4 linked regions of the Tamandua tetradactyla genome follow. The protein of the gene in region 4 binds, or shares a complex with, the protein of the main gene of each other region. Links are inferred from orthologs where the notes say so. Each region holds a gene or a part of one and is shown on either strand. Other genes may lie near its edges.

Region 1 (7,291 bases), about 28 Mb from region 4:
CTAGGGAGAGAAAATAAACATGGTAAAGTAAAACATAGTACATCAAAAAGAAGTTTAAAGGAGAGAAATAGAACAGAGAAGTGAGATCAGAAGTGGAAATTTGTAACAGCAAAAATGTTGGTACTTGGGAATAAATCTAGCAAGAAATAACGAGACTTGGATATGGAAAACTGCCTACTGAAAAAGTTTGAGATGAGGTTGGGTATCTATTATCATGGTCTATAAATAGATGCCACATATATTTTCTTGGTATTATGTTTTAAATAGATAAGGACATTTTAAATATTTTTTTAAAATCCTCGATGGAGGTCAAGAAAAGCTTCTGTAAGGTGATGTCAGAACAAAGATTTGAAAAAGAAGAGAAAATAAGTCGTGAACATCAGACAAGAGCATTGGGGGGGAGCGGGGGAAATTAAGTGCTAAGGCCTGGAGGCAGGAAAGTAGGGATGTGCTGGTATGTTTATGGAACATTGAATCGTGGACTTCAGTGAGGGGACTGGAAAAGGAGAGGAGAGAAAGTCAAGGCAGATCACAGAGGCCTTTGGTGAGGACTTGGTGCTTACTAAGCCATTGGACTCGGAGACTGTTGCAGCTTGATGAGAAACCATGCACTCTGAGGAGGGAGTGTACATCAGATGTATAACCACACTGCAGGAAAGAACAGACAGTAGGGATACCCAAGGCCCCCCACTCCTCCGCAGAAGACAACCATGTGACTGGGCCACAGAGGAACTGCATCCAATGCTCCCAGGGACCCTGACCCAGTGGCATTCCCACAAACAAACTCTCCAGTGGAACAACCCAAACGCATAAACACACAAATAACCCTCTAACCACCACTTAACCCGCTATCTCTCGCCCCATCTCAACTTTGCCCATCATGGCATGACTCAGTCCTGCCCTCAGAACAACACTATCAAATGCAGAGTCATAGGGGACAGATAAGGCCAAGCACAGATCTGGCCTCTGGCTTCTCAGGTGTGGGTGTGATATCTGCTCTGCCCACAGAGGCGGACAGGAACAGGAGTATAGAGGGGGGCATGACCAGCCATCCTCCCAGTCACGCATGTTGTGGACGTCAGGAAACAAAGTTCATCAGTTTCACACTGCCTTGTGACTGGGCCACAGAGGAACTGCATCCAGAATGCAGACGCTGTGCTACCATGTTATGCATGCACAATCACAGACACCTATAGAGAAGGGAACAGATGCAAGCGGCCACTATTCACACACCTGATTATCACACACACTGAGCTATGGGGGCTTGCTCACACAGATACTTAGACATTGAATTTCAAAGTTGTTTTTATTCAGACCTTCAGTCATACCCTCACACAGCCCAGATCCCCAAATGGCGTACACACACAGTTGTACACATAGTTATACAAGGTTCAGGGCACCCTCAAATGCACGAGAGGGCACATACAGTCATACTCTCATCCAGGCACCTTCAAGGAGTTACACACACAATCACTTCAGACTCCAGAGTGGTACAGAGCTACACAGATGTGATGGTTAAAAAAACACATGGCCTAGTCAATCACACAGACACAGGCAGTTTTACACATCCATTCACACACAGTCATGTCATGCAGGACTGGATACATGCAGCCCTCACACATAAAACTAGACAGTCATGTTGCACACCTACTTCCCCAACTGTATACCCAAACACACCAGAACTCTCACCCAGTCATGCCAGGGAACACACCCTGCACCTGCAGTGCACCCACTACTCACACAACTTCCTACATGTTCACAGGTTGTCCCACACCTGCCCACGCAATCGCACACAGCCAGCCCCACCCTCGGTCACACCCGGCTCCCACGCAGTCACGCCAGGCACACGCACGGGCCAGACACAAGCGCTGCAAGTACACAGCCCCCAGCACGCTTGCCCCAGCTCTCACACCCCCGCGTTTCCCGTCCCCGCTTGTTTTTCTGGAAACTGCTCTCCGCTCCCCACCCCCTAGCCGGAAGTGCTCGCAGTATTTTTAGCCTCTCTGGTTTCCGCCCTTTGCCCCCTCCCCCTCTCACCCAGGACCTGTCGCTACCCCACCCCCGCACCCTGGCGGGGGACCCCGGCCATCCCCTTCCCCAACATCATTCCTGAGGGGATTCCCGGCCGCTGCTAGGGCCGCGGATTTTCCCGCTGGCTACGTGGGGAGCCGGGAGGAGTCCTCCCTTGAACTTCCTCCCGGGCCCGGACGCCCCAGGCCGTAGGGGCGGGGGTTGGGGTGGGGGATGGGAGCCCATCCTCTAGGTCTGCGGGAGGAGGGAATTGAGGACTTGAAATTTTCGGTCTGACAGAGGGGTCTGGGGGTCCTCTTAGACTAGGGTCCGATAGAAGTCTGGGAGTTCGGATTCTCGGGTCTGAGTGAGGAGGTGGCTTGAGGACCCGGACCCCTGGATTTGAGCCAGGAGGGACTGAGGGCCGGACTCCTGGGGCCTGCACTTCAGTGTTTTGGGCGGTCGGTCCAAGTCCGGACCAGGGGCCCCCTCCAACCTCTTCATGCGTGGCCATATCCCGGGCGTCCTGGCCTTCAGGCCGATGACTCAGCAGGTGGGGGAGGGGTGGGGGGGGTCAACCTGACTCAGGGGTGGGAAATGCGCCCTGTCTCCCGGGAATCGAAACTGGAATCCTTCCTCCAGGATCGCAGCCAGAGCCGATCCGGGCTCCGGGGACGCCAGGACCCACTTTTCCCGCATTAGCCCTGCCAGCGGCAGCGGGATTTGGAGCCGGGCCTGAAAGCGAGTCCCAGGCACCCCCGTCCCCCCCTTTCCCGGCGTCCTAGACGCTCTGTTTACAGGGTACAAGATCCCTGGTTACAGGAGCAGAACCCCGGCGTCCGGGCCGGGCCTCCCCGTCACGGCTTCCAGGAAGCCCCCTCTCCCCCGCCCCCTGCTAGTGAGTCACCGACGAGCGGGAGGCCGCAACCGTGCCAGGGCCGCCTGTGGCCGCCCAGCTCACGAGACCGGCCCGGGAAGGCCCCGCGGCCCCGCGCAGAAAGCGCCGCTCAGGGATTCCCCCGCTGCTCGCGGGAGGAGAGTCTGCGTGGAGCCTGGCCGCATGTCTCCCACCTTGCCACACGCCTGCACCCGCAGCTTGCAAGACTGAACTTTCCATCATTACAGGTGGTGCTCGGTGACAAGGATTTCATCCCCCATATTTTCGCTCAGAGCAGTCGTATCCCCAAAAACCCTTTAAAGGTTTTCTTCCCAAATCTTAAGATTGGGTTTTCACTCAGGCACGCACAGAACAGTCCCAACCAACCCTCAGTTGGGGAATGACCCATTTCTTCCAACTCCACCAAAATGAAAGATCTTACCCTTTCCAGCCTTAAGCGTTTTCTCAAGAGGGCAAATTTCTTCACATAATTTAAGGCCCTAGTATGAGGCACTGCTATTTACTAGCTAGGGAACTAGGTGAGTAATTGAACTTCTCTAGGCCCAGTTTCCTCATGTGTAAACCGGCATAATACCTCTCGAGTGGCGATAATGATTGAGTATGTAAAGCGCTTTGGACAGTGCCCAGTCCAAAGGCAGGCATCCAAAAAGGCCACTGTCGGCTTAAGGCGAGGGGTTACAGGGACCCTGAGAACTGGGAAAGGAGGCCCTGGCCAGCCAGCCGCACCAGGTATCCTGGGCCCACCCCACAGCCGGGGGTCGAGAGGGCCGTCCCGGACTTCGGATCTCGGCCACTTGGGTTTCTTCTCCAGACCTGTTTTGATCCTCCATGTTTCTGTCCCTCTGTGGGTGTCTGTTCCTCTGTTTGTTTCCCCCCCCCCCCCTTTTTCTTTGACCCTTCCGTCCCGCTTCTGGCTCTGAATTTGTGAATTTGTCAGTCTGAGATTGTCTCTGTCACCTGTCCTCTTTACCCAGTCTCTCCCTCTCTAGGTATGCCTCTTCCTGTGTGTCCCTCCTTCTGTGTCTCCCCGTAACTCTGTCTCTTTCCCTCTCCGTGTGTCTCCCGGCCCGTGTCTGTCCGTCCTTTCTCTCGCGCGCGGCCTCCCGGCCTCTGCCCATGCCTCCGCCTCCACGCCCCCCACCCGGCCTTCCCCGCGCCTCAAACCCCAGCCCTGAAACCTGGACAGACAATCCCCATGGCCCGCGACTGCGCGTTCAGACGCGCGTGGTAGCTGGGGGCCGGGGGGAAGGGGACCGGTCCAGGGTCGGCCGGGGAGCGCGGGGGGTGCTAGTCCGGGAAGCGCCCCTGTGGTTCCGCCCCCACAGCCCCGCCCTGCGCCCCGCCCCCGCTGGCCCCGCCCCCATTTCTTTAAGAAGCCGGCTCTCGGGCCGGGCTGCAGCCTGCGACTCCAGCGCTGCCAATTCCGGCCGACTCCGCAGCCGACAGGCCGCCCGCGCCGCCATGGATCTCGCCGCCATCTACGAGGTGAGCCCCGGCTAGCCGGCACCCCCGGGTTCCGCACGCTCGGTTCGCTGGCGCCGCAAACTTCGAGTCTCTGGCCGCCCTCTCAAACTGGGGCTTCTTAGCGCCGCACAACCCGGCCCGGGGCCCCCGCCTCTCTCTTTACACCAGTGTGATTCTCTGGAGGCGAAAACGGAACCCACGACTCCGGGTCTCGGTCCAAACAAGGGTGGCGATGGAACGTTGGGAGACTTTTGTCAGGCTAGGGCTGTCTAGGGGCGGAAGTGACTCCCACACCTGGCGTACACCTAGTAGTTGCTGAGGGTGCGGTTTGCGGGGAGGCATTGCAAGGGCTGAAGTCTCGGAGGGTGGGGGGAAGCGGCTTATGTTCCCTCACTCCCTGACCCGTCAGAGAACTCCCAAATCAAAGAGATCCGGGCTCCGGAGTTAACTTTGCCCAAATATTCCAGTTGTGAAACTGAAGAACCCGGATGCGTGGGCCAGATCGGGGGGCAGTGGTGTGCCCCAACTTTGGAACCCCATCTCTATCCAGCCGGGCTCTAGCCTGGATCGGAGAGTCGGGACCCCTAAGTTCCTCGGGTAGGCTTCAGCCATGGCTAAACATTAAACCTCCAAATCGGTTTCCCTGATTTGGTTATGGAACTGAAGGGTTTCTGCTGGTCGATCGTGCTCAGGCCGGGAGCCCACAAACCGGGCTGGCAAGCTCTTGAAATGCCCTGCGGCGGGGCCAGGGCGTCACCCTACATTTTCGGTGTCTTAACCCCCTCCTCCCCTTTCCGGGCAGAGCATCCTGTCGCTGAGCCCTGACCTGACATCTACCCGCGGAGGCACGGAGTCCAGCCTGGGCTGGGCCACTTCAGGACCCTGGAGCCTGAGCTCATCGGATTCTAGCCCAGCCGAGGTCGCCCCTCGCCTGCCCAGCCGCTCCACCAGCCTGGTGGAGGGCCGCGCTTTCAGCTGGGTGCCCCCACCCCCAGGCTTTGCACCTTTGGCTCCCCGCCCAGGCCCTGAACTGTCGCCTTCACCCACCTCACCTACTGCAACCCCGGCCACTTCGTCCCGCTACAAGACTGAGCTGTGTCGGACCTTCTCTGAGAGCGGGCGCTGCCGATATGGGGCTAAGTGCCAGTTTGCCCATGGCCTGGGTGAGCTGCGCCAGGCCAGTCGCCACCCCAAGTACAAGACGGAACTCTGCCACAAGTTCTACCTCCAGGGCCGCTGCCCCTATGGTTCCCGCTGCCACTTCATCCACAACCCCAATGAGGACCTGGCCACCCCTGGCCAGCCGCACATGCTACGCCAGAGCATCAGCTTCTCAGGCCTGCCTTCTGGCCGCAGGGCCTCACCACCACCAACAGGCCTGCCGGGCCCATCTCTGTCCTCATGCTCCTTCTCGCCTTCCAGTTCCCCGCCACCACCCCCTGGGGACCTTCCCCTCTCACCCTCTGCCTTCTCTGCCGCCCCTGGGACCCCCATGCCCCGGAAGGACCCCACCCCAGCCTGTTGCCCCTCCTGCCGGAGGGCCACTCCCAGCAACAGCCTCTGGGGGCCCTTGGGTGGCCTGGCTCGGAGCCCCTCTGCACACTCCCTGGGCTCGGACCCTGATGAATATGCCAGCAGCGGTAGCAGCCTGGGGGGCTCTGACTCACCTGTCTTCGAGGCAGGGGTTTTTGGACCACCCCAACCACCTGCGGTCCCCCGCCGACTCCCCATCTTCAATCGCATCTCTGTTTCTGAGTGACAAATGTTTTCCGAGTACAGATCAGCTGGATCTTAAAGGGGGGCCATCTCCTCCATACTGTGGGCTCCACATGGGCCCAGGGGCTGTGGGGACCTGGGGGGCCCTTAATTTAATCAAGCAGCCCTCCTCCCACCTTCCAAAATGCATTAACCCACTTCCCTGACCCCACACTAGGGCAGGTCCCCAGTGTGCAAGCTCTGACAGTGTTCCTGGTGTTGGGGGTGGAGGGTTTTTTTGGGGTCCTTTAAAACAAGATGTAGCAAACCTTTTCCCTGCCCACATCTCGCCTCCTGGAATCATGTGCTGTGACTAATAGACCCCCACTACCCACTCCCAATTTTTCCTAGACTCTGAGGTTCCAGCAGCTGGTGATGACTGGAGCCTCCCCTGAGGGGGAATCCTGGTGCTCAAATTTCCCTCCAAAAGCAAGTAGCCAGAGCTGTTGCCAAACCCACCCACCCCCAAGCCAATGGGCCCTTTATTTATGACGACTTTATTTATTCTAATAGATTTTATAGTATTTATATATATTGGGTCGTCTGCTTCCCATGTATTTTTTCTTCTTTTTCTAATATTGGAAACGATGGAATAATTATTGTTATAAAAATGCTATATTAAGTAATATATATATATATTGTTACCTAAAAAGTCTATTTTTGTGCCTTTTGGAATTTTTAAATAAAAGGAATGGGCGTGTAAACTGGAACCCTGGCTTTTCCGCCGTCTAAACTGGTTTAAGAGAAGTGGGAAGGACAGTGTAACCCTTTTTTGAAGCGGGGTAGAGTCAACTGATAGCTCCAAACCTTCCCGGAGCTGAGAGCCCCGAGGCGCTTACCTGGCAGGAAATGATGTCACCGGGCTCGGCCGCTCACCTGAGAGGGCGGGGCCAGGTGAGATCACACGGGTAGAACCCGGAAAGCCTGTTCCCTGGGCGTGGGCTGGCGCTACCGGCCTGTCAGGCTCTCGACCCAACTTGCGGGAGGGGACGGGATGTTTCAGTCCCCGGGGACCGAGGGGTGAAGGAGGGGCGGAGTGGGGAGGACGGAATGTACCGGAGCGCGAGCCCAGGGCGGGGGCGGGCGAGCGCAGTGGGGGTTACGGGGCCATCCCGGAAACGCGGGGCCCGGGCGTCCCGGGGTCTCGCGACAGCGGGGAGTTTC
Region 2 (6,474 bases), on a different chromosome or scaffold from region 4:
AAAGCCCCTGGCGCTGATGGTTACTACTGCTTTCAGCTGGGAGACTTTAGCCCAAGGCAGTATGGACAAGAGACACAGCAACTGTTCTCAATTCTCTGTATTTCCTTCCAGCCCTGGTCCGTACACTCGCGAAATTCTGACATGTTCATCACCTCCATCTGGCCAGAGTACTATTTCCTAACTCTTTTTGATAGAATTACTGAACTGTGTTTTCCCATACTGCTACATGTTTCAATTAGAACAGATCCAGATGCAAGTAAAAGAACGCCCAACTCACATGGCCTGGAACAACCAAGATGTAATTCTCATGAAACAAGTCTCGGGTCATTAATAAAAATGTCGTCAAAGCTGTTTGGGGTTTTTTCCCTCTTTTTTTTTTGATCGTCTATCACCAATGTACCAGCTTCTGGTCCATAAGACTTGGCACCCCAGGGCTCAGGGCTCCTGCAGCTCCAGAACCTGCTCAGGGAGGAAGAAGATGGAAATACGGATTCTCTCCCCCACCCCTTTTTTGTTTTTTAAAGAAGGGAGTCAACTCCCTCCCAGATTCTTCCTAACAGTTACGTTTCAACAGCCACATTGGGTCACCAGCCCTCTCCTAACCCAATGGAGACTAAAGGGCAATGGGATGCCCCAGCCTGGCTTAGCCCTGTCCTCATGTATCCTCCGAGGCTGAGGCAGGGTCTCAGCCAGCACAAAAGGGAACAAAATAAACAAGAAGGAGAGAGCAGCTGCTGGTTGGCAACTCTGATCATTAATTTGATGTCAACAAGGCTGGGTCTTGGAACCCAGTTCTTTAATCAAATACTAATCTAGACATTGCTGGGATGGTAGTTTGTAGACATGGTTATCTTTAAGTAAAGGATATTTTAAGTAAAGGAGATCACCCTTGAAAACAGGGTGGGCAGTGGGGGCTCAGACTTGCCTCCTACAATCAGCTGAAGACCTTAAGAGACAAACAGGTTTCTCAGAGAAAAGGAAACTGCCTCAAGTCTGCGGTATCAAGAGCGAACCCTGCTGTACGCCATGGGCTATAGTTAAGAGAACATGCATAAAAATGTCACACCCACTGTCACAAATGTACCACATTAATACAAGGTGTGAATAACAGGGTGGTATATAGGAACTCTGTATTTTGTGCATGATTTTTCTGTAAACCTACAACTTCTTTAATAAAAAATAAACTGCAGTATTAAATCTTCCCTGGTTTCCAGCCTTCCCTACAGACACTGGACTTAGCAGTCCCCACGACCGTGGGTCACCTCTTTAAATCATCATACACATGCAAACACACATCCATCCAATTGGTTCTCTTTCTCCGAAGAAGCCTGCCTGACACAGCAACCAGATGTGCTGCCACTTTGCACAATGTGCCACCTTGACTGATCAGAGGAAGAAACTGAGGCCCAGAAAGGCAAAGTTCTTCATCCAAGACCACAGGTGACTTTGGAGAAGCACTAGGACACAAACCCAGGCCACCTGTCCAAGTTACCCTACTCCCCCACCTGGCTTCTCGACTGGGGAAGACTTGAAGTGTCCCCAATAGGCAAGAGCCCCATTCCGCTACAGAAAAATGCAAGCCCTCTGCAGAAGAGCGCCTCCCGCGTGCCATGCCTGACTCCCAGCCCCAGGCCCAGAGAGCCAAAGCACTTCCTGCCCTTACAAAGGCTGGGCAGGCGGGTCTGCGGGAACCCAGAGCGGGACAAACCACATCTCTGTAGCTGCCTGGACACATGCCAAGCTGCCTCATTCCCCAGGACTGACCTCATGTTTCTGAAGAGCCTCAAGACGCCTGAGGTCTGTGTTGCCTCTCATGGTTCAGTTCTGCTGCCAACAAAGGAAACAGCCCAGGCGGGGGATTGGAAGCCGCACAGAGAGGTGGGAACGCAGGGTTCCATCAGCCCTCCCCACCATTACCCAGGCCCTGCCGGAGCCCACTGCCAGTGCCAGCCAGGCCCCACTCCAGGAGACACTGAACAACACCTCCGACTTCTGATTTGAGACCTACCACAATCTGTCTTCCCAGCCTCTGCGAGTTTGAGAATGCCCCCTTGGAGAAACGTTCACACTTTGGTTATTTCCATCTGTTTCATTCCAGACTCCTGGAAAGTGAACAAAAGGCACTCAGACTTCATCTAAGGTGCTAAGAACATCTCTGAAGTCAGTTCTACCACCTCAAAGAGAGCTGGAATGCTCACAGTTGGGCTGAGGCTTCTGCTTGGGGACAAAAGTAACTTTATTTAGCCCTGAAGCTGAACCAGAGGTCCACTGTGGCCCTCCAATGCTCACACACAACAAAGGCTCCTGGTGTTGCCAAGGCCCAGCACATACCCCCAAACCAAAGGCTTTGTCCACTTTGCCTCCATTTGCAGACATTCCTTCCATTTCCTGGTGGGCAAGGTGAGCAACCTAGGAAAACAGTACGTGGCCATGCCCAGTTCCCTTTGATTCTCCCAGGGTTTCTCCGGACAACTGATGTTCCCCGAGCCCAGGCCACAGCTTCAAATCAAGGCATTTGTTCTAACTCATGTTTCACTTAAAAGTTTTTATTCCCTTTGTGAAACCACAAGGGCTGCAAGCCACGTTGTGGAGGAAAGCAGGCCTCAGCTTATTTGCCATCCTCTCTTTGGCCTGGCCGAGTGAGCAGACACAGCAGCTGGCAATGTTAAACTCTCTTTGTAGTTTTTCTTCGGATTGGTGACTTCCCCTTTTTAGAGTTTACCTTGAAAGTATGCAGGCCCCAGGGCTGCCTGGACAGAGTGGAATTTTCCATTTATAGACTAATAGTCTTTATACCACAGTGTAGGCTGGAGTTCTCATGGTGAGCTGGGAGTTCGGTGTCAGCAAACTTGCCAGGCTTTCTGCAGGAGCCCCACGGCATCGGGCTTTTATTTATTTTTGGTGGGAGAGAGGGAGGAAATAAAGGAATGGCTTTTTAACTTGAGTGCCAACACAAACTTGAAAAAGGAACTGGGTTGGCCGGGGCAGAACATCATGCCCGCTTTCAGGAATTAGGGGGTAGGAGGTGAGAAAGAGACAAAAACACACCTTCTACTCCTAACACAGACAGGCAGCCAGAACAGGCATCCCTTTATTGCCCTAAATCCCTTCCTGTCCACCCAGCCCCTGGATTGCTCCCAGAGGGCCAGAGCCCAAGCCAGGGGCATGCAGGCCCATCCCATTTGTCCTCGTCCTTCCCAGCTTCCCCTGTCTTCTGCATTTGGTTCCTGCCGAAGCATGTGCAAACTTATAGTCTGAAATACCTCGGGGTCTGTGGTATGGTAGGAAGAGTGAGGCCAAGAGTTCTGGGGCCTGGGTCCCAGTCCTAGCTGTCACATATTCACTGTCGCCTTAAATTGGAAGTCACTTCTTGTCTCTGGCTCTCATTTTCCCCATCTTATAAAGTAAAAACTGATGCTAAATGATCCCAAGGATTCTGTCCTCTGCTGGCATTGATTCATTCATGCAAATATTAACGGGCCACTCTTCTCCAAGGCAGGCACTAGGTTCTGGGACCCCCTGGGAGCTGTTCCACACCTCCTGGGCAGAGTCATACCCTCGAGCCTGCCTCCTCCTTTCAGTACCGCAGCACGTCCTGCGTGGGGAGGAAAGCCCGGCCAGGCCGTCCGCCCAGTCTCCAGCAGAGGCATTGCCGGGTCCCAAAGAACCCTAGAGGAGCTTTCCTGTACCTAAAACCATTCTCACTTTTCATTTAAAAAATAACGTTGCCTCCAGCCCAGGGAGGGGAGCGACCACCTCTCCCCCCCCCCCCCCTCCAATCAAAACCCTCTCTAAACCTTTAGTTTCCATTGTTTTCACCAAAAAAAGTTTCATTCATTTCGAAGTATTACATTATGACGTCAATAATATGTCTTCCAAATTGCACCAACACCACATTTCCCACAGCCCCCTGGGAATGTGGGTTGAAACACACGCGCGCACACCAATCGCTGCCCTGGGCCCTGGGGCTGTAGGTTTCCTAGCTGACGGCCAGCCGGTCTGAAAACCTACTGGAAGTCTGCTGCGCGGGGTGGGAACGTCCCGCGTCCCTCCACTGCTTACTCTACCTGCTACAGCAAGAACCGTAACCGCTCAGAGCCTGAGAGATTCATGTGCGGGTTTCACCCTGGGTGAATGCGCTCCGAGGCACTGTGCAAGCCGAAGTTACTAGTTCGTCGGGCGGCTGGGCGGTGAGAACTGCATCCTTAGATCGCACCCTGTCCTGCCTCCCTACTGCTTTCCCTACTGACGCCGGTGCTTCAGTGCACTAAGTGGGGGTTGCGTGAGCCCTGGGGCATCCCCCCCCATCGCCACCCCATCCCGGTCCTTGGCGAGCCTCACCACCAGGCGGAGGAAGACCCAGGCCTGGGCACCTGTTCCAAGCCCCGGGCACATCACTCAGGCGCAGGCGGGTCGCGGCAGCCGCCCCACCCTTCGCCTTCTTGCAGCTTTTTCCCTTCCCTCCCAGCAGCGGGGACAGTGCACGCCCCCTCCCAGGCTTCACCAATCAACGTCCGGAGCGGCGCCCGTGGCGCAGGGGTGCTCAGCTCAGTAGCCAATTAGCGCCGGGGCCCGAGGCGGCGCCTCGCCCGCCCTCTCCTACAAGGAAAGCCGCCCCGCAGCTGGCAGAGCTGGCGCAGCGCGTGGAGCGCGGGAGCCGCGCGGACACAGCAGAGCGCGCACCCGCCCCCGCTCCGCCTGCGTCCAGGGCGCGGGCGAGGTGGCACGGGCGCTGGAAACGCAGGGGGCAGGGCCGCGGTGGCGGCGAGCCCGGGGGGCGGGGAAGACCCGGACCCGATAAAAGGCGGCGCGCGGCCCCACCCCGCGGCAGGCCGGCAGCAGGCTCGGCGCGTCTCTTCCGTCCGGCCCGCGCCGGTGGCGGGGAGGCGGTTCGCGCGGCTCGCAGCCCGCCCATGGAGGCTTTCCCCTGGGCGCCCCATTCGCCCCGCCGCGGCCGCGCCCCCGCCCCCGCCCCCCAGTCCATGGCGCTTGTCCCCAGCGCCCGCTACGTGGGTGCTGCGGGCCCAGCGCATCCGCAGCCCTTCAGCTCGTGGAACGACTACCTGGGGCTCGCGACGCTCATCACCAAGGCGGTGGACGGCGCTCGCGGAGGTGCCTCTCCACCCTCCTCCCCCTCCTCGTCTTGCTGCTCTCCTCACGCTGGGGCTGGGCCCGAGGCCCTGGGACCGACGCTGGGGGCACCCGATTACGACGACGACGACGACAGCGACGAGCCGGGGCCCCGGAGTCGCTACCCGGGGGGCGCGTTGGAGTTGCGGGCACTGGAGCTGTGCGCGGGCCCTGCCGAGGCCGGGCTGCTGGAGGAGCGCTTCGCCGAGCTGAGCCCGTTCGCGGGCCGCGCCGCCGCGGTGCTGCTGGGCTGCGCGCCTGCCGCCGCTGTCACCGAGACGGCGCCGCCGCGCGATGAGCGAGCCCCCGCGTGGGCGGTGGAGCCCAGGCTGCACGCAGCCTCAGGGGCAGCCGCTGCCCGGCTGCTCAAGCCCGAGCTGCAGGTGTGCGTGTTCTGCCGAAACAACAAGGAGGCGGTGGCGCTCTACACCACCCACATCCTGAAGGGACCCGACGGGCGAGTGCTATGCCCCGTGCTGCGCCGCTACACGTGCCCCCTGTGCGGTGCCAGCGGCGACAACGCGCATACCATCAAGTACTGCCCGCTCTCCAAAGTGCCGCCGCCGGCCGCGCGCCCCCCGCCTCGCAGCGCCAGGGACGGCCTGCCAGGCAAGAAGCTGCGCTGAGAACCTAGCTGCAGCCCGTTGGCTCTAGACGCCACCAGGGTCACCCCCTACCCAATCTCCTACTTTTGGTCAGCGTGCCCTCTCTCCCTCGTAGTTGGGGAGCGTGAAACTCAACAGTTGGCGCAACTTGAGGTGTCGTCGTAGCGGTTTTTTTTCGATAGTTGACCGTGTGTGGAGTACTTTACTGGAAGAACAATTGAGACTAGATGCTTAATTCTTGACTTTGTGTATCTTCACAGTTTCTAATTTGGGCTCACCCAGAATGCCGAAGGCTGGATATATGGCAGTGTCGAGGCGCCGTTTATTTACAGTATACGTCGACCTATTTTAGATGCACATCAGTATGAAATTCTCAATCTAATCTTGGATGTTTCGCTTTATGAATAGAGGCACTTTATTAGGTCTAGAATATTTTTTTAAAAGCCTCTGAGCTTAAAACTGGCGATTTTATGACGTGTTAGCAGAGTGACTATTTTATTGTTTGAAGCAAGTAATACTTAGTTGTCCTTAATCAGTTATTTTAATTCCAAGGTGAAGCAAGCCCCTCCTAGTAGCATCACCGTTATAACGAGTGAAGGTTTAGTAAACTTTCCAGTATTCGTTTGGGTGGATATTCCCTCCTTGTGGCTTGTTTCCGTGCTAGCTGGAGGTGTAAAATGCAGTCGGTAGAGAAGTAGCAGGTAGAATGCAACTCCTTATCCATTTCTGTATCAGATCT
Region 3 (7,803 bases), on a different chromosome or scaffold from region 4:
AAACAACGGAAAATTAAAGGAATTGAAAAGGTATTGTGTCAGTTTGAAACTATTATGTACCCCAGAAAAGACATGTTTTAATCCTGATCCAATCTTGTGGGGGCAACCATTTCTTTTCTCTTTTTTTTTGGCACGGGAAGGCACAGCCATTTCTTTTAATTTCAATTCAAAATTGCAGGGCAGAAACTTTTGATTAGCTTATCTCCACGGAGATGTGACGTGCCCATTTGTGGGTGTGACCTTTGGATTAGATGAAGACATGACTCCACCCATTCAAGATGGGTCTTATTAGTTTAATATAGTCTTTTAATAGGGGAAACATCTTTGAGAAATCTCATATGCAGATGCTTGGAGGACAGTTGCTTCAGAGCCGAAAGAGAAATGCTCATTTGGAGATGCTTGGAGTTCTGACAGAGCGAGAGAGAGCAGGTGCCTAGACATGGGCAGAACCCAACAGCCATACCATGTACCTTCCCACGAGGGGCTAGAGGTGACCAGAGTTGTGTCCCAGAGGAGCTAAACGAAGGCCCATAGATGCTTAGAGAGGAAACCCATTGGCATCAGAAGCTGGAAGCAATGGAATGGAACAAGGACCAGTAGAAGCCAGTCACATGCTTTTCCATGTGATGACATCAGCTTTTCTTGAACCAAGGTATCCTTTCCTGGGTGCCTTAGTTTAGACATTTTTCTGGCCTCAGAACTGTAAATCTGTAGCAAAGTAAATTCCCTTCGTAAAAGCCTTTCCATTTCTGGTACATTGCATCTGGCAGCTTTAGCAACCTGATTCAGTATACAGTTTAGGGGACACAGGGAAGAGTGGCTTGATATCAGAAGTACAAAACCTGGAGAAGATATAATCAGATTTTGAGAGCTGGATAAGTCAACCTTTGAATTTCCCTCAGTTTAAACTGCCTCTCCCCTACCAGCAACTTTACCTTGTGACTGGGTAGGAAAATCGTAATCATCTAATTTGGGAGATATAAAAATTACCTCTCTACTTTGAATAGATATAAACACTTAGAAACATGGTAATGGGAGGCAGATACGTCTGCCTGTGGAAACGGCAATGAGACCATAAAGATCAAATCTCAGAAAGCAATATTTTCTGCAACCCAGCCATATTCAGCTCACTTTTTTTCCCTCAAATTTAAAACTAAGGCAATTTTGGGTGCCCAATGTCATTTGCTTGGTAATGCAATTCCAGTACATTACTATCTCCTTAAATCATTCATCTTGGGGAAAAGGATGTAGCAAATGGTCCCTCTTTTTCCCATTATGGCTATGTGCTGTCAGTGGTCATCTCCCTCATCAATATTCCTTCAACCAATGAAATATTTGAATCCTTACTTTGTACCAGGAGCTGTCCTGGCACGGGGGCAATAACTAACACAGGACTCTATAATCCCTGTCCTCAAGGGGAAGACAGACAAAAAAAAAAAAAGTAAACGAATACAATAATTACAAATTGGGTTCAGTGCATGAAGAGTATTCTATCTAATAAAGCTCCAGAATACAAAATTACTGTGAATAGGGTGGTCAGGGAGGACCACTGGTAGGTATATTTAGGTGAAATCTGAGGGATGAGGAGGCTGTTATACCCACACACTGTACATGGGAGAGAGAAACAGGTAAAAGCATTCCAGGCACAGAGACCAGAAAGTGCACAGTTGAGTGGAAAAGCGCATGAAGAAGGGATAGAACGGTGGCCAGTGTAGCTGGAGCTTACTTATAAAGTGACATGAAGTTATAAACGTGGGTAAGGACTGTATCATACAGGGCCTTGTAGGGCATGGTAGGAAGTCTGGATTTCCTCTAAGCGCAATGGGAAGTCAGAGTAGTACTTCACACAGGTGAACTACATGATCCATATTTCTTGTTTATCACGCTGGTGAATGGTGAAGCCTGGCTACTTTACGGTGTTTGAACGAGAAACTTTCTCACTGTCAGAAAAGCTTTAAATGCAGAGAACCAAAAGTCAGATGCAATAATTATTCACGTTTCCATGTCTCATATTTTCCACCTGTAAAACAAGTCGTTTAAGCTAGAAACCATTTCCTTCGCGCTGCGATGTGCCTAGGCGGTGAGTTCCGAGAGGACAGGCCGCATCAGGTTTGCCATCGCAGTGCCCTCATCCCTGCCGGCGCCCGAACACAACTGGCGCCTTGAAACTGTCGGTCAGCGCAGTGAATCAATGAACGGCTTGCCCCAGCCGCGAGGAAGGCGCTCCGGGAACCGGACCAGGCCCCGGGGCGGGAAAAGAACGCGATGCCCGGCACTAGAGACCAGGAAAGCCAGTCGGCTGGGAAGGTGAGGGCCGGCCCTACCACAGCCAAGGCGCCTCGAGCAGGGGAACCGGAGCCTCGCGGGTGGAGGGCGGAAGGAGCTGGACTGAAGGCCCGATACAGAGAGCTAGGAAAGGAAGCCGAAAAGTGGGGCTGAAGAGGGACTCTGGGCCCAGGTCAGTCGAAACAGTCACTCACCGCAGCAGTCGCCAGGCTGTGCATGTTGGGAGCCGCCGACGCTCTCCTCCCACCACCAGACGCGACCGACTCGCGTCTCCGTCTCAGCGCCGCTGCCACCGAAGATGATGAGCTGCCGCAACCGCCATCCGCCAACTGTTCGCTCCGCCCCTTCGCAGCCCTATGACCTCTCACCCCTGAACCCGCCCACACAACCTCTTCCCGCCTCCTGGCCTCTGGAGGAGTTAATCCTAGACTATGCTCTTTGCCCTTTAAGACTCAAGGCGGAAAGGACATCCACGACCTGCGACTCCCTGCATCCTCCGACATCTAGTAGGTAACCCCAGAAAGGCGTGAACTCTATTCCTATTCCGGAGGCCCGTGAAGGGCGGGAAAAACCGGACTCTCTCGGGAGGACAATTAGTGCGCATGCCCAACTAGAACTGAGTAGGAGGGAAAGGTTGGGAGGGCGAAAGCGGGTGAAATAGAAAGTGCTCATGCGTACTACTGTCACGGCAGGGGCGGGACTACCTGGGCTCAGCATCTCTTGGTGTTGGGGGGAGGGGGGAGAGGACGTACGAGGGGCGGAGCTTTCAAGCTTCCGCGCACGCGCCAAGCCTAGTCGCGTCGAGTGTGCGTGCGTGCGTGCGTGTTTGCGTACAGTCACAGTTCCCGCCATCAGCTGCTTTCCCTGGCTAGGGGGGAGCGAGCGACCTAACTCCTCCGTGTTGGTGTCCCTTCTTTCCTTGCCCCCGCCCCTCCCCCTCCACGCGGATTCTGTGCTGCCGGCGGCCTGTTCTGGGGCTCCGGACCCGAAGGCACAGGTAAGGCGCCCCAGGCGAGCTTCTTAACTGAGCCGTTTCCTTCCCCCTCCCCCTTACGTGTTCCGCCCACTCGGCGTTCTCTCTTCTGGAGTTCGCCCCGCTTTTCTCAGTCAGCCCCCAACCCTTCGACGCTCTCCCAAGGCGTCACAGGTACTCCACTTGGCTCTTTCCTCCAGGCTTTCCCTTTCTTATGTACTGGTATTTATTGTCAGTCTTACCCTCCGCAACCTGAAACTGGCCCCCTTACACTGGGGTTGTCGTCATCCGGCACTTGCCCCTTAAGGCCTGCCATCTCTTCAGGTGACTTCCGTTGCTGCACATCCCATCAGGTCTTGGAGGTGAAACTCACTCAGTCTCTGGGCCAGTCTTCACTTTCTTTCCCCTCTTAACCATCAGTCGCTAAAAATCATGAATTGTAGTTTTGTCTTGCATTTTATTGGTCCCTGTCTCTAAAGCCATCAAATCAGGTTGTCACGTTACCTATTTTTATTTTAGATCATGATCTGTGGAAGGAAATGGTAGTCGACCACAGAGTCCTATGTTCTGGAGAATTGGCCAACAGTGGTTTTGTGGTATTCTCTTCAAAATTTCACCTCTTGTAAACGCCTTTTTTGGGTGATAATTTATGACGGGCCTCTAACTGGAATCTAAGAGGCAGTTGGATATAGTGTTGGAGCTCATCAGAGTTCTAGACTGGAAATATGTATCTCCAGTAATGATGTTTATATATGATATGTGTTTTTGTCATTTGCCATATTCGTAGTAATTGAAGTTATGAATGTGGATCCAGTTGCCCAAAGAAAATATGGAAATGGAAGGGATTTAGCTCATAGCGTTAAGAAATTGGTAATATTTAATAACTGGATATAGGAGGATGAGTGTTGGAGAAGAGATGAAATAAGTCAATAGTGTTGAATTGAGGCCTGGAAAACCTGTGACATGGAAGTAATCTGTGATCTTTTTTTTGAACTTTTCATTTCTTTTTTTTTAATTAACTTATTTTTTAAACATAACATACAAACACGAACAATCTTACCGTATGATCATTTCCTTCTTGATATATAATCAATAACTTACAATATCATCACACATTGTGTATTCATCATGATCATTTCTTAGAACATTTGCATCGATTCATAAAAAGAACACAGAAAAAAATTCATACATACTATACCCTTTACCCCTCCCTTTCATTGATCACTAGCATTTCAATCTACTAAATTTATTTTAACATTTATTCCCCCATTATTTATTTATTTTTTATCCCTATGTTTTACTCATCTGCCCGTAAAGTAGATAAAAGAAGCATCTGACACAAGGTTTTCACAATTGCACAGTCACACTGCAAAAGCTATATCGTTATACAATCATCTTCAAGAAACATGGCTACTGGAACCCAGCTCTACATTTTCAGGCAGTTCCCTCCAGCCTCTCTGTTATGCCTTAGCTAAAAAGGGAATATCTATTTAATGCATAAGAATAACTTCCAAGATAACCTCTCTACTCTGTTTGGAATCTCTCAGCCATTGACTCTTTATTTTGTCTTATTTCTCTCTTCCCCCTTTTGGTAGCGAAGGTTTTCTCAGTCCCCTGATCCTGATCCCAGCTTATTCTAGGATTTCTGTTCCACATTGCCAGAAAGGTCCATACCCCTGGGAGTCATGTCCCACATAGAGAGCAGAGGACAGTGAGTTTGCTTGTTGTTTTGGCTGAGCTGAGAGAGGCCACATTTGAGTAACAAAAGAGGTTCTCTGGGGGTGACTCTTAAGGCCTAATTTTAAGTAGGCTTAAGCTTATCTTTTGTGGAGTTTAGTTTCATATGAACAAACCCGAAGATTGAAGGCATGGCCTATTACTTTGGTTGTCCCCATTGCTTTTGAGAATATCAGGAATTCGCCACATGGGAAAGTTGAATTTTCCCCCTTTCTCGCCATTCCCACAAGGGTTTGCAAATACTTTTTTATTCATTGTTCATATCACTCTGGGGTAATCCATGACCTTAGCAGGAGATGTTTAATGTGTAAAATGGAATATTTGGGTTCAGTCTTAGGTCCTTTTATTCTTATCTTCCTCCCTAAGCTTTAAATTCTGTCTCTATATTGATCACTGAAGGATTTTTATTTCCGGCCCATTCCTTTTGTGTATATGTGTGTGTGTGTGCGTGCGTGTGCGTGTGCATGTGCATGTGCACTCCAGATCTAAATAGCCAACTTCCTGCTTAACATCTCAACTTGATTTTTTTTCCTTAGGAATTTCAGATATAATGTGTAAAATCGAAAATTTTGGTTTCTCTTCACTTTTAATTCTTTCTTCTCCATTTCCCCATTTCATTAAATGGCATATCCATTTATCCAGCAACATTAGCTAGAAACTTGAATCATTCATAGCTTCCCTCTCATCCCATTTATCTATTCCCTCTCCAAGTTCTGTCTTTTCACATGTTTACATATGTGTGTGTGTATGTATATGTGTATGTGTGTGGTATATGTATATTTTGAACTTGTCTGTCTGCATCTTCACTATCACTTTTCTTATTCAAGCCACAATGTTTCACCTGGGCTTAATCAGTTCCCAGTATTCTTATTTGTAACACGGGAATAATAAGAGTTCCCACTTTATTGGATGGTTATGGAGATTAAATGATATAACTGTGGTAAGCACTTCGCACACAGTAAATGCTGATTGTTATTGTAATTGCTATAAGCTGAACAGTGTCAGTATGCTTTCTGGTTGCCCTGTCCATTCTTGCTCCTTTCCACTCTCCTCTCCAAACCCAAACAAAATCACATTACTTTTCCATTCAGCATGATGTTTTCTGATCACTAAGTGCTTATTACATTTAGAAAAAAAGTTTTAATTTTCGTGACTCTGCATAACATGGTTCTTGCCTGCATATAACAGCATCTTGCAACATTCTCCTTTCCCTCACCAAGCTTCAGCCTTGCTGCTGCTTTTCAGTTGCCCCAAGTTCTTTCCCATCGCAGCGCCTTTGCATGTGCTATTCTGTTTACCTGGAATGTTCTAACACCACTCTCCATCCCCTCAAATTCATTCTTCAGTTTTCTGCTTACGTGGTACTTTCTCATAGAATCCTTCTCTTTATGCTCCTTACCCTGTGCCCCTAAATCTCAAATTAGATACCCTGTTATAATCTCTTTTCATGCCCTTCATATCATTTATCAGAACTTGTAATTATATGTTTGTTTCTATGATTAAAGTCTGTCTCTTACTTGAATATAAGCTAGGGACGATTTTATTTGTATTTCTTAATAATTTGTTGAAAATAAATAAATTAGTATTTGCTCTGAGAACTAATCATGTCTTTTGGAAGAGCTAGCTTACTGATATACTTGTCAACTCATGACAACAATTTTTTCATTTTGCAAAATAGATTAGAAGACACAAGAGACAAAAGCTTGAACAGCTTTGTATCACTTTAGTCGTTCTTATATCATAAAATCATTCAGATTTTAGACTTATAATTGGACTTAAATTTATCTAGGCCAACTTCCCTCACTGTCAGCCAGACCACTAATTTTATCTCTGTGTTATTTGTTGTATGGATCTTTTTAGGAAAGAAAGGCCTCAAAAATCAGGACAGTGATTTATATATTTGAACAACAGGGTAACTAAGACACTTGAAGATGAGGTTTCCATGTAGATAAAACAGTATTCCATTTATAAGTCAGTTGGTGATGGATGTGGGAGGAAATATTAAATTTTAATAATTGTTGTTTGTGTAGGATAGGATTTGTGTTTAGAAATAGGAAATGTGTGAATGACAAGCACAGAGAGGCATTTGGATTTATTCTGTAGGTAGTGATGAGTTATTTAAAATGTTTGTGAGGAAATTAATATTGATAGAAAAAATTTAGCACCTACTAAGTGTTTGGTATTTTGTTGGAATACAAAAAGATGTGACTCCCCCTACTCTTTACCCTCCTCCCCCCATTCTGGGAGAGTGTTAAGGAGACAATTAGTCCATAATGAATTGGGAAGATATCAAAAGAGTAGTTCTTTTAGAATGATTATTGTAATATAAGTGATTCGTTGGGTGGAAAAATCCTGAGAGAATGGAAACTGGAAATCAATTGCTGCAGTTCATTGATGAGGATAGAATATGGTAATTTTTAAAGTATGGGCATTAGACCTAGTTTTATCTCTTACTCTGTGATCATAGATAAATTACTTAATCTCTAAGCCTTTCGTTCTTATCTGTAAAACAGAAAGCAGTAATCCTTATCTTTTGAGATTACTGTGAAAATTAATTGAGAATGCACTGTGCTTAGTAAATTGCATAATAAATATTGGGTGATCTGATGGCAAAGTGATGAGTTTCTGAATTAGGGTAGTAGCTATGAAAAGGCTGGATTCTTGGGTTTTGGATACTAAGCTATCTTGTATGAGTGGTGATAGGCAGACAAAAGTAGAGAAGTCTGGGGGCCTCTTTATAAGGGCATAGACTTTCATCTTCACATTTGTTTCTCTACAACAGTGCCTTCAGATTGGTGTACCTCAGT
Region 4 (7,716 bases):
TTTGTTAATTCAAGAAACATAAATACTGTACAAAAAAAATCACCATCTTAAAATACATTCAATTAGAATTACTGTGGACCCATTCCCTTCTGTGGTGGCAATGGGTGCCAAAGATTTTTTACCTCATAGAATGATTTAAATAAAGAATCAAGTTCATAAATTTAAGCTCATTAACAAAAAAGCTTCTTGTAACTGAAACAGAATTTAACCAAAAACAGCACACTTGGAAAAGCAACATATAAGGAAATTTTAAGAAGTCTTTCTTTTTTAACAATTTTATTTACACACCATACAATCCACCCAAAGTGTACAAGCAATGGCTCTTAGTATAATCATAGAATTATGCATTCACCAGACATTAGTCTTTAAAGCACTTTTTGAAGAGAGTTTTGTTTTTAACAACTTAACGCAAAGGCAAGAGGATGTCACAGTACAGGTTAGGGAGACCAGGATTTAAACCTCCAGTAGAAATTTAGAGACCAGAAAGAAAAAAAACACTAAACCAGGCATCCATCCAACTGCCTTAGAAACCAAGGAAGAGTATTTCACTTCTGTTACACAATGTCACAAAACCTTGCCTTAAAAACTTCTAAGATCACAGACTTAGATAAGAAAGGCAAATATTTTCAGTTCATAATGTAATGGTCAAGTCTTTGTGCCTTGATTCTAGACTTGAATTTCCACTAAATGACTTGTGACCCTCTCTTGTTGAAATGGGACAAATTTTCCAACTTTCCGAACAAGTTTTATCCACATGCCACCATTTCAAAGTATCATCAATTCATTTTTCCCTTAGACAAGGTAACAATTTGCAGAGTCCTAAAACAAGACTATTTAAACTGTTACCATACACCTTATTAATATCTAAAATGCAGGACTGCCTATCTTTGGAAGAGAAGGAACCTCACACAAATCACTTTCCAACCTAAATACTTAACAAAAACAAATTTGTTCTTAATCTGTTTGACATACTTTCAGAATTTTTACTGCCTTTCTCATCATTTTTTTATCCATGTATCACTATCCCTATCGAACGTCTGAACGAGACGTTCAGAATCTCTTTCAAAAACAAATACTCAAACTCACTCAATTACGACTGTTAAAGAAATCCCCAAGTCGTCACAGACAATTGAATTGTAAGGAAATAGGCAGGGAAATAAAATATTGGTACAGAATGTTCAGGAAGAAAACAGACTTGAATTAAAGTCCTAAGAAATGTGACATCTGACCGAGTGACTTCAGGGGCAATAATTTACTTCTCTGTTAATAAAGTTTACTTTAAACACATTTTCAAACACACATTATCAACCAGTTGCGTGCGTGTTTCAACCAACAAAGCTTACGCCTCGTGGGGGTCACATCTGTTTGAGCACTGGAAAAGGATATTTCCAGTGTGTTCGGCCTTAAGTGACCCCTGCAAGATCTAAAGCAACTGTCTCACCAGCACTGAGGCCTGCAAGTGTTCAGCTCACTAGGGGGGACTCCCCATGGATGAAGACCGCTGCTAAGGGAGACACCGGGCGGGTAGGTGGGGGGTCGACGTCGGACAAAGTCTGACCGCACGGGCGCGCGAGTGGAAGTAAACCTGTGACCAGAAGTAATAAGGAAGTGCTCGCTCCCTCCCGCTCGCCCCTCCCACCTACAGACACCCGAAACATGGGGATTTGACAACGTGCTGGGGGCTAGGGGAAGACCGGCAGCACCCGGTACTTGGACAAGAACTGGGAGTCAGTAACAACTCCAAACACTGTCCCCCCTGCCCATGGAGTTAGGCCTCGGGGGCCAATGCCCACTACACCCATCTGAGAGCCTGGAGAGGAAGAAGCAGTTGCGGAAGGCTGGTGGAGTCCGAGATGGATGCAGCTCGAGCAAAGCGCGGCCCAGGCCGACCGAACAGTTGCCGCCACCGCCGCCCTCAGAACCTCCAGGCCCGGGCCGGGGGACCACTCCGGGTCGCAGCCCGCGCTCTGCCATCCGGTTGCCAGAGCTTTCGGGACGGCCGCTTCTTTTCACTACCTGAAGGTGCCGCGAGCGGTGGAGAGAGCCCGCCCTCCCTCGCCTGGCCAGTTTCCCGTCCCGGCTGCCCCTCGCTCCTCGAAGCTCTGGGAAACGCTTCCAATGGCCCTAGGACCACCCCCTGTGCGTTCACCCAAGCTCTCGCGTTCCGTAGCTGACATGGCCCGCCTATGGCGGCCCCTGACCCAAACCCACCTCACCTTAGGCAGCTCCGGCGGCGCTGGACACAGGAAACTCCTGGGTCCCCCGACTCCGGCTTTCCTCGACCCCTCTTCGGTTAACTCCGCTTGTTTCTCTACAAAATGGCGCCGGAGGTCGCGCGCTCACGTCGCGGCCTTTCCCCTCCCCGTTCCCATTTCACCATTCGTTGCCCGCCCGTGGAGGGATGGCCCGACCACCAGCCAATGATCATACCCAGCCCATAGTGCCCGCCCAATCACCGACAGGTGCCCGCGGATTTAAACCAATCAAGCCCCATCACTTGCAGAAGTCAAGGAAGAAACCAAGCTCCTGCTAGCAACTACCAATCCGGACTCCTACTTCTCGGGTTTTGACCAATTGCCGCTCACCAGTCCCCAGGGACTGGAGTTAGCGTTCTCGCGCCTGCGCGCGAAGCGAGGACCAATGGAGAGATACAAATAACTTCGATTTCAGGGTCCACGGACGTCCCACCTGCCCTCGAGGTCTTCGACCAATGGGACCTTGGCATTGCTTCCGAGAAACAATAAGTAAGGAAAGGTGGTCCACAGCCCCTCGCCACTCTACGCGGTAACAATTTTGAGTTCGGCATTAGACAGCATTCCTCCACTTTCCTTCCTTTTTCGTAGTGTCACAGTCCGGTCGACTACAGGACTTTCAAGCCTAAACATCCTCCTCCGATCCTGTCCCTTTCCTCGCCTTGTGGAGTAAGGCGAGGACCGCCAACAACCGGGAAGCAAGCCAGGTTAGGACTAGTGTGGTGGCGCTGTGCGCCCTGGGATGTGTAGTTTCCTCCGCCCCCCGTTCCTGACGCAAATCTAACGCGTCCACTTTCGTCACTGGCAGCGCCTGGGGAGAAGCAGTGCATACTGGGGAATGTAGTCTTCCAGGACCTTCACCTGGTCATAGGTTGTCCCGCTTCAGTCAAGGGAACTTCTTTCACCTAGATTTAGGGACGCCTTATGGAGAATTAGGAAGCTAAAGTTCTCTTCCTGATTTAAGCCCTAGAACCGCTATCAAAAAGGTCACTTCTATCCTTTTACACTGGGGAAAAAAGTCAAAGGGACAGTTCTTTTTCTACTGGTGATAAAAATTGACAAAATCTGTATAGATAGTATTTTGGCCCAGTTTATCAAACCTAAAAATGCACAGACCCGCTGACCCAGTAATTGATCCCATGTCTAGGGATTTATTCCCCAGTTTTATTCGTGTGCACAAAGATGATTGAAGAATTATTTATAAAGAGCAGAAAGATTGAAAACAATAGGGGAATGGTAAATAAATGTATTGTACTGCCATGTACTGGAACACAATGAAGTTGTTAAAAAGAAAGGTACAGCTATACTCTTTGAGACCAAAAAAATTAGTTTTATTTTGTCCAGAACCTAAGTTTTCTGTAGCACATAATCTAACTCAACCAGTCTGGATAGATCACTTAAACAACCCAAACACAGGAACCTCAGAATGGGAATGAAGGCCTGTAATTCTGTATAGCTTAATATAATGCCCAGATACATCCCAGAGTATATTGAGCGTATATTTAAAAAGTACTGGGAAAGTCCCTTGAGGGATTGGAGAGAAAATATGGAACTATTAAACTTTACCACCAAGGAAAACACTGATACTGTCCCAAACTGTCCCAAGTCAACAGACCAAGCCCTTGAGCTTGAGCCTTGCTCTTGTGAAGCTGATTTATACAGCAGAGAAGGTTAGCCTACCTATAGTTAGTTATACCTAAGAGTTACTTCCAGAGGATCCCTTTTGTTGCTCAGATGTGGCCTCTCTCTTTCTAAGCCCAACTCTGCAAGTGAAATTGTTACCCTCCCCACTATGTGGGATATGACATCCAGGGGTGAAAGTCTCCCTGGCAACGTGGGATATGACTCCCAGGAATAAGTCTAACCCTAGCACTATGGGATCGACAATGCCTTGCTGACCAAAAGGGGGAAAAGAATTGTAACAAATAAGGTATCAGTGGCTGAGAGAGTTCAGATAGAGGCAGAAGGCTACTCTGGAGGCCAAGCTTCAACTAGATATTGCTGTTTATCATGGTTTGCCAAACTCCAATCAAAACCATTTCTGCCAACCCTTAAGAATACCTAGGGATTTATCTGAGATTCTACAAAGGTTCCATGCACTGTGATTACTTTCCAGAAACCTACAACCTCCAGAAGGTTCCTAGGCTGGATAAGTCCTGAAATTCAGAGTGGCCAGCCTCTCCAGTGCATCGACTAGTTCCATTCCCCTATACCATATTATTGACAGCCCTTTCCAACATGAAAAAATTAGAATGGACATAGCCCAAGTACCCCTAAATATTGGGAGAAAGATCAAAGGAGAAGATGAAGTTATAACAGAGTCCAAGATAGGATTTAACAAATGAATATGATTGCTGAATCATTATATTGATATTTCTTTTAGTCTCCAGCATCTTGGAGCAGCCAGAAGGAAACACCTAGAATTGTGGAATTGTAACCCATACTGTGCTGGTTTGAAATGATGTCTGTACCCTAGAAAAGCCATGTTTTAATCCTAATCCCATTTTGTAACAGTAGCCGTTTCTTCTAATTTCTATTCAGTACTGTATGTTTGAAACTGCGATTAGATCATCCCCTGGGGGTGTGATTTAATCAAGAATGGTGGTTAAACTGGATTAGATAGAGGCATGTCTCCACTCATTTGGGTGGGTCTTGATTAGTTTGTGAAGTCCTACAAAAGAGGAAACACTTTGGAGAATGAAAGAGATTCAGAGCGATCAAAGCAGAACAACATAGCCACGAGAAGCAGAGTCCACCAGCCAGCGACCTTTGGAGATGAAGAAGGAAAATGCCTCCTGGGGAGCATTATGAGACAGGAAGCCAGGAGAAGAAGCTAGCAGGTGATGCTGTGTTGGCCATGTGCCCTTCCAGATGAGAGAGAAATCCTCACTGTGTTCACCATGTGCCTTCTCACTTGAGAGAGAGAGACCCTGAATTTCATCAGCCTTCTTGAACCAAGGTATCTTTCCCTGGATGCCTTTGATGGAACATTTCTACAGACTTGCTTTAACTGGGACATTCACTCGGCCTTAGAACTGTAAACTAGCAACTTATTAAATTCCCCTTGTTAAAAGCCATTCCATTTCTGGTATATTGCATTCCGGCAGCTAGCAAACTAGAGCACATACCAAACTCTGAAATCTGTTCTGTTACTAATGTGTGCACTGTGCTTTGAAATTTATGGGTTTTTTGATATATGTTATTTTTCACAATTAAAAAAACATTTTTTAATTAAAAAAAGGTAAACTTATAGCTAGTGATATGGAATGATTACCAAGATTTCTTGTTAAATTTAAAAAGTGAAGATTGGGTGGGAAAGGGAATGGTAATAAAATCAGTGTTACCATTTGTATGGAAGAAAATAACTATATATTCCTGTATTTACATAGAACTAAATATATTAAAAGGTTTAGAAAGCTACATTACCCAACGGATATCCCTTTATCCCTGGGGAAAGGAATGGTAATGAGGAATGGTAAAGGGAATGTTTGCTTTTTATCCTGTGTATTACTGTATTATTTAAACTTTTTACAAAAGAAAGTATTCATGTTGTATTTGTGTAATTTAAAAGAGGTAGAAATTGAGACTGATAGAGGTCAACTAAGATCAACTGTGTAATTCTACAACTCTTTCAGGTCTCAAACCTAGAGCTCCTGAAATAAAGATCGGCTGAGATAAAGTTGAGGTGCCTTTCCCCACTTCAGCCCATCCTTGAGAGGAAAATGATTTGCTATTTTAAATTTAGGCTGCTCCAGACCCTTGAGCCACAGCCAGCCCCTCTCCCAGAGCTGCACAAAGCCACTCTTGGGATTTCACCCTCCACAAGTGCACTGTGTATTCAGTCACAGGACCTACAGAATTCCCCCGATAGGCTGGAGATCAGAGTCCATCAAGTATGTGTCAAGAATTCTGGGTGCCAAATAAAATCAGAAGGAAAGATAGACAATAAAGACTGAGGTGGTATAATCTAGGAATGCCTAGAGTGTATAATGATAGTGACTAAATGTGCAAATTTAAAAATGTTTCTGCATGAGGAAGAACAAAGGAATGTCAGTAATGCAGGGTGTTGAAAATAGATGGTAATTAATATTTGAAAACTTTAACCTATGTGTGAGACAACCAAAAAATGTTTCTTTGGTACAAAATTTATAGTTTGACTCGCGCATTTCCTAATATAACTTATGTGGACAGCTTAATTGAACACCATATTACATGGAACCTTGCGTAGGGCATGAGATTTTGTAGGTTTGTCCAGATTGATGCCCAGATAAATCCCAGAGCGATTCGAACAGTGAATAGGGAAGTATTTGCTGAGTTCCCTAGGGGGAATGGTGAGAAAGGGGGAAAATTCAACTTCCCCCAGTGGAGAATTCTTGATATTCTCACAGGCAGTGGGGACAGCCGAAGCAATAGGACGAGCCTCCAATTTTGAGGTTTGTTCATATGAAACTTAATCCTGCAAAGAATAGGCTAAGCCTACTTAAAATTAGGCCTAAGAGTCACCCCCAGGAGAACCTCTTTTGTTGCTCAGATTTGGCCTCTCTTGGACCGACACAGCAAGCAAACTCACTGCCCCCCCACTATGTGGAACATGACTCCCAGGGGTGTGGACCTTCCTGGCAACGTGGGACAGAAACCCTAGAATGAGCTGAGACTCAGCATCAAGGGATTGAGAAAATCTTCTCTACCAAAAGGAGGAAGAGTGAAATGAGACAAAATAAAGTGTCAGTGGCTGAGAAATTCCAAACAGAGTTGAGAGGTTATCCTGGAGATTATTCTTACACATTAAATAGATATTACCTGTTTAGTTAAGGTGTAACAGAGAGGCTGCCTGAAAATGTAGAGCTGTGTTCCAGTAGCCATGTTTCTTGAAGATGGTTATATAATGATACAGCTTTCACAATGTGACTGTGTGATTGTGAAAACCTTGTGTCTGATGCTCCTTTTATCTACCTTGTCAACAGACAAGTAGAACATATGGAATGAAAATAAATAATAGGGGGAACAAATGTTAAAATAAATTTAGTTTGAAATGCTAGTGGTCAATGAAAGGGAGGGTTAAGAGGTATGGCATATATGAATTTTTTTCTGTTTTCTTTTCATTTCTTTTTCTGAATAGATGCAAATGTTCCAAGAAATGATGATGATGATGAATATGCAACTATGTGATGATATTGTGAATTACTGATTATATATGTAGAATGGAAGGTCAAAAGTTAAGAATGTTTGTGTTTGGTGCTTTTTGGTATTTAAAAACAAAAAGGATGTAATGGAGAGGCTGGAGGGAACTGCCTGAAAATGTGGAGCTGTGCTCTGGTAGCCATGTTTCATGAAGATAATTGTATGATGATATGGCTGTCACAGTGTGATTGTGTGGTTGTGAGAGCCTTGTGACTGATGCTCCTTTTGTCTACCTTATTGATGGACAAGTAAAACATATGGATTAAAAATAAATAAACAATGG

The links.
Region 1: the proteins of CNOT1 (region 4) and ZFP36 are in contact, whole or in part, in a crystal structure (PDB 4J8S), measured with the Homo sapiens proteins. The link is inferred for Tamandua tetradactyla from reciprocal best matches to the Homo sapiens genes CNOT1 and ZFP36. Residues at the interface, in NP_057368.3 of Homo sapiens: Gln821, Glu835, Asp845, Ala848, Asn849, Phe852, Gln853, Tyr856, Asn894, Glu897, Glu898, Phe901, Gln904, Tyr905, Pro906, Glu909; in NP_003398.3 of Homo sapiens: Arg314, Arg315, Leu316, Pro317, Ile318, Phe319, Arg321, Ile322, Ser323, Val324, Ser325.
Region 2: the proteins of CNOT1 (region 4) and NANOS1 are in contact, whole or in part, in a crystal structure (PDB 4CQO), measured with the Homo sapiens proteins. The link is inferred for Tamandua tetradactyla from reciprocal best matches to the Homo sapiens genes CNOT1 and NANOS1. Residues at the interface, in NP_057368.3 of Homo sapiens: Ile2327, Ile2330, Lys2331, Trp2338, Glu2350, Phe2353, Gln2354, Val2356, Ala2357, Met2361; in NP_955631.1 of Homo sapiens: Phe40, Ser41, Ser42, Trp43, Tyr46, Leu47, Leu49, Thr51.
Region 3: the proteins of CNOT1 (region 4) and CNOT9 are in contact, whole or in part, in a crystal structure (PDB 4CRU), measured with the Homo sapiens proteins. The link is inferred for Tamandua tetradactyla from reciprocal best matches to the Homo sapiens genes CNOT1 and CNOT9. Residues at the interface, in NP_057368.3 of Homo sapiens: Ile1415, Ala1416, Thr1418, Thr1419, Gln1422, Ile1423, Lys1426, Asp1427, Phe1428, Met1444, Asn1447, Leu1448, Gly1451, Met1452, Met1454, Ile1455, Arg1458, Glu1459, Tyr1548, Gln1549, Arg1552, Met1553, Pro1554, Gln1556, Ile1557, Leu1559, Val1564, Lys1567, Gln1568, Leu1569; in NP_005435.1 of Homo sapiens: Arg19, Glu20, Tyr23, Ile26, Asn27, Ser30, Ser31, Pro32, Arg35, Pro54, Met55, Trp57, His58, Ser59, Phe60, Gly61, Ile63, Ala64, Ala65, Leu67, Gln68, Val71, Asn72, Tyr74, Pro75, Ser76, Ile77, Asn78, Pro79, Thr81.

Annotation. Positions count from the first base shown.
Region 1 is NC_135342.1:24,566,761-24,574,051, reverse strand, and holds ZFP36 (mRNA decay activator protein ZFP36), read left to right. Parts: upstream 1-4,289; 5' UTR 4,290-4,369; coding exon 4,370-4,393; intron 4,394-5,174; coding exon 5,175-6,131; 3' UTR 6,132-6,831; downstream 6,832-7,291. UniProt on the Homo sapiens protein: Zinc-finger RNA-binding protein that destabilizes several cytoplasmic AU-rich element (ARE)-containing mRNA transcripts by promoting their poly(A) tail removal or deadenylation, and hence provide a mechanism for attenuating protein synthesis.
Region 2 is NC_135339.1:81,420,153-81,426,626, forward strand, and holds NANOS1 (nanos homolog 1), read left to right. Parts: upstream 1-4,913; coding exon 4,914-5,756; 3' UTR 5,757-5,970; downstream 5,971-6,474. UniProt on the Homo sapiens protein: May act as a translational repressor which regulates translation of specific mRNAs by forming a complex with PUM2 that associates with the 3'-UTR of mRNA targets. Capable of interfering with the proadhesive and anti-invasive functions of E-cadherin.
Region 3 is NC_135329.1:194,077,609-194,085,411, reverse strand, and holds the start of CNOT9 (CCR4-NOT transcription complex subunit 9), read right to left. Parts: upstream 3,005-7,803; 5' UTR 2,505-3,004; coding exon 2,481-2,504; exon of another isoform or gene 2,286-2,480; intron 1-2,285. UniProt on the Homo sapiens protein: Component of the CCR4-NOT complex which is one of the major cellular mRNA deadenylases and is linked to various cellular processes including bulk mRNA degradation, miRNA-mediated repression, translational repression during translational initiation and general transcription regulation.
Region 4 is NC_135342.1:52,306,459-52,314,174, forward strand, and holds the start of CNOT1 (CCR4-NOT transcription complex subunit 1), read right to left. Parts: upstream 3,002-7,716; 5' UTR 2,689-3,001; exon of another isoform or gene 2,579-2,688; intron 2,312-2,578; exon of another isoform or gene 2,217-2,311; intron 1-2,216.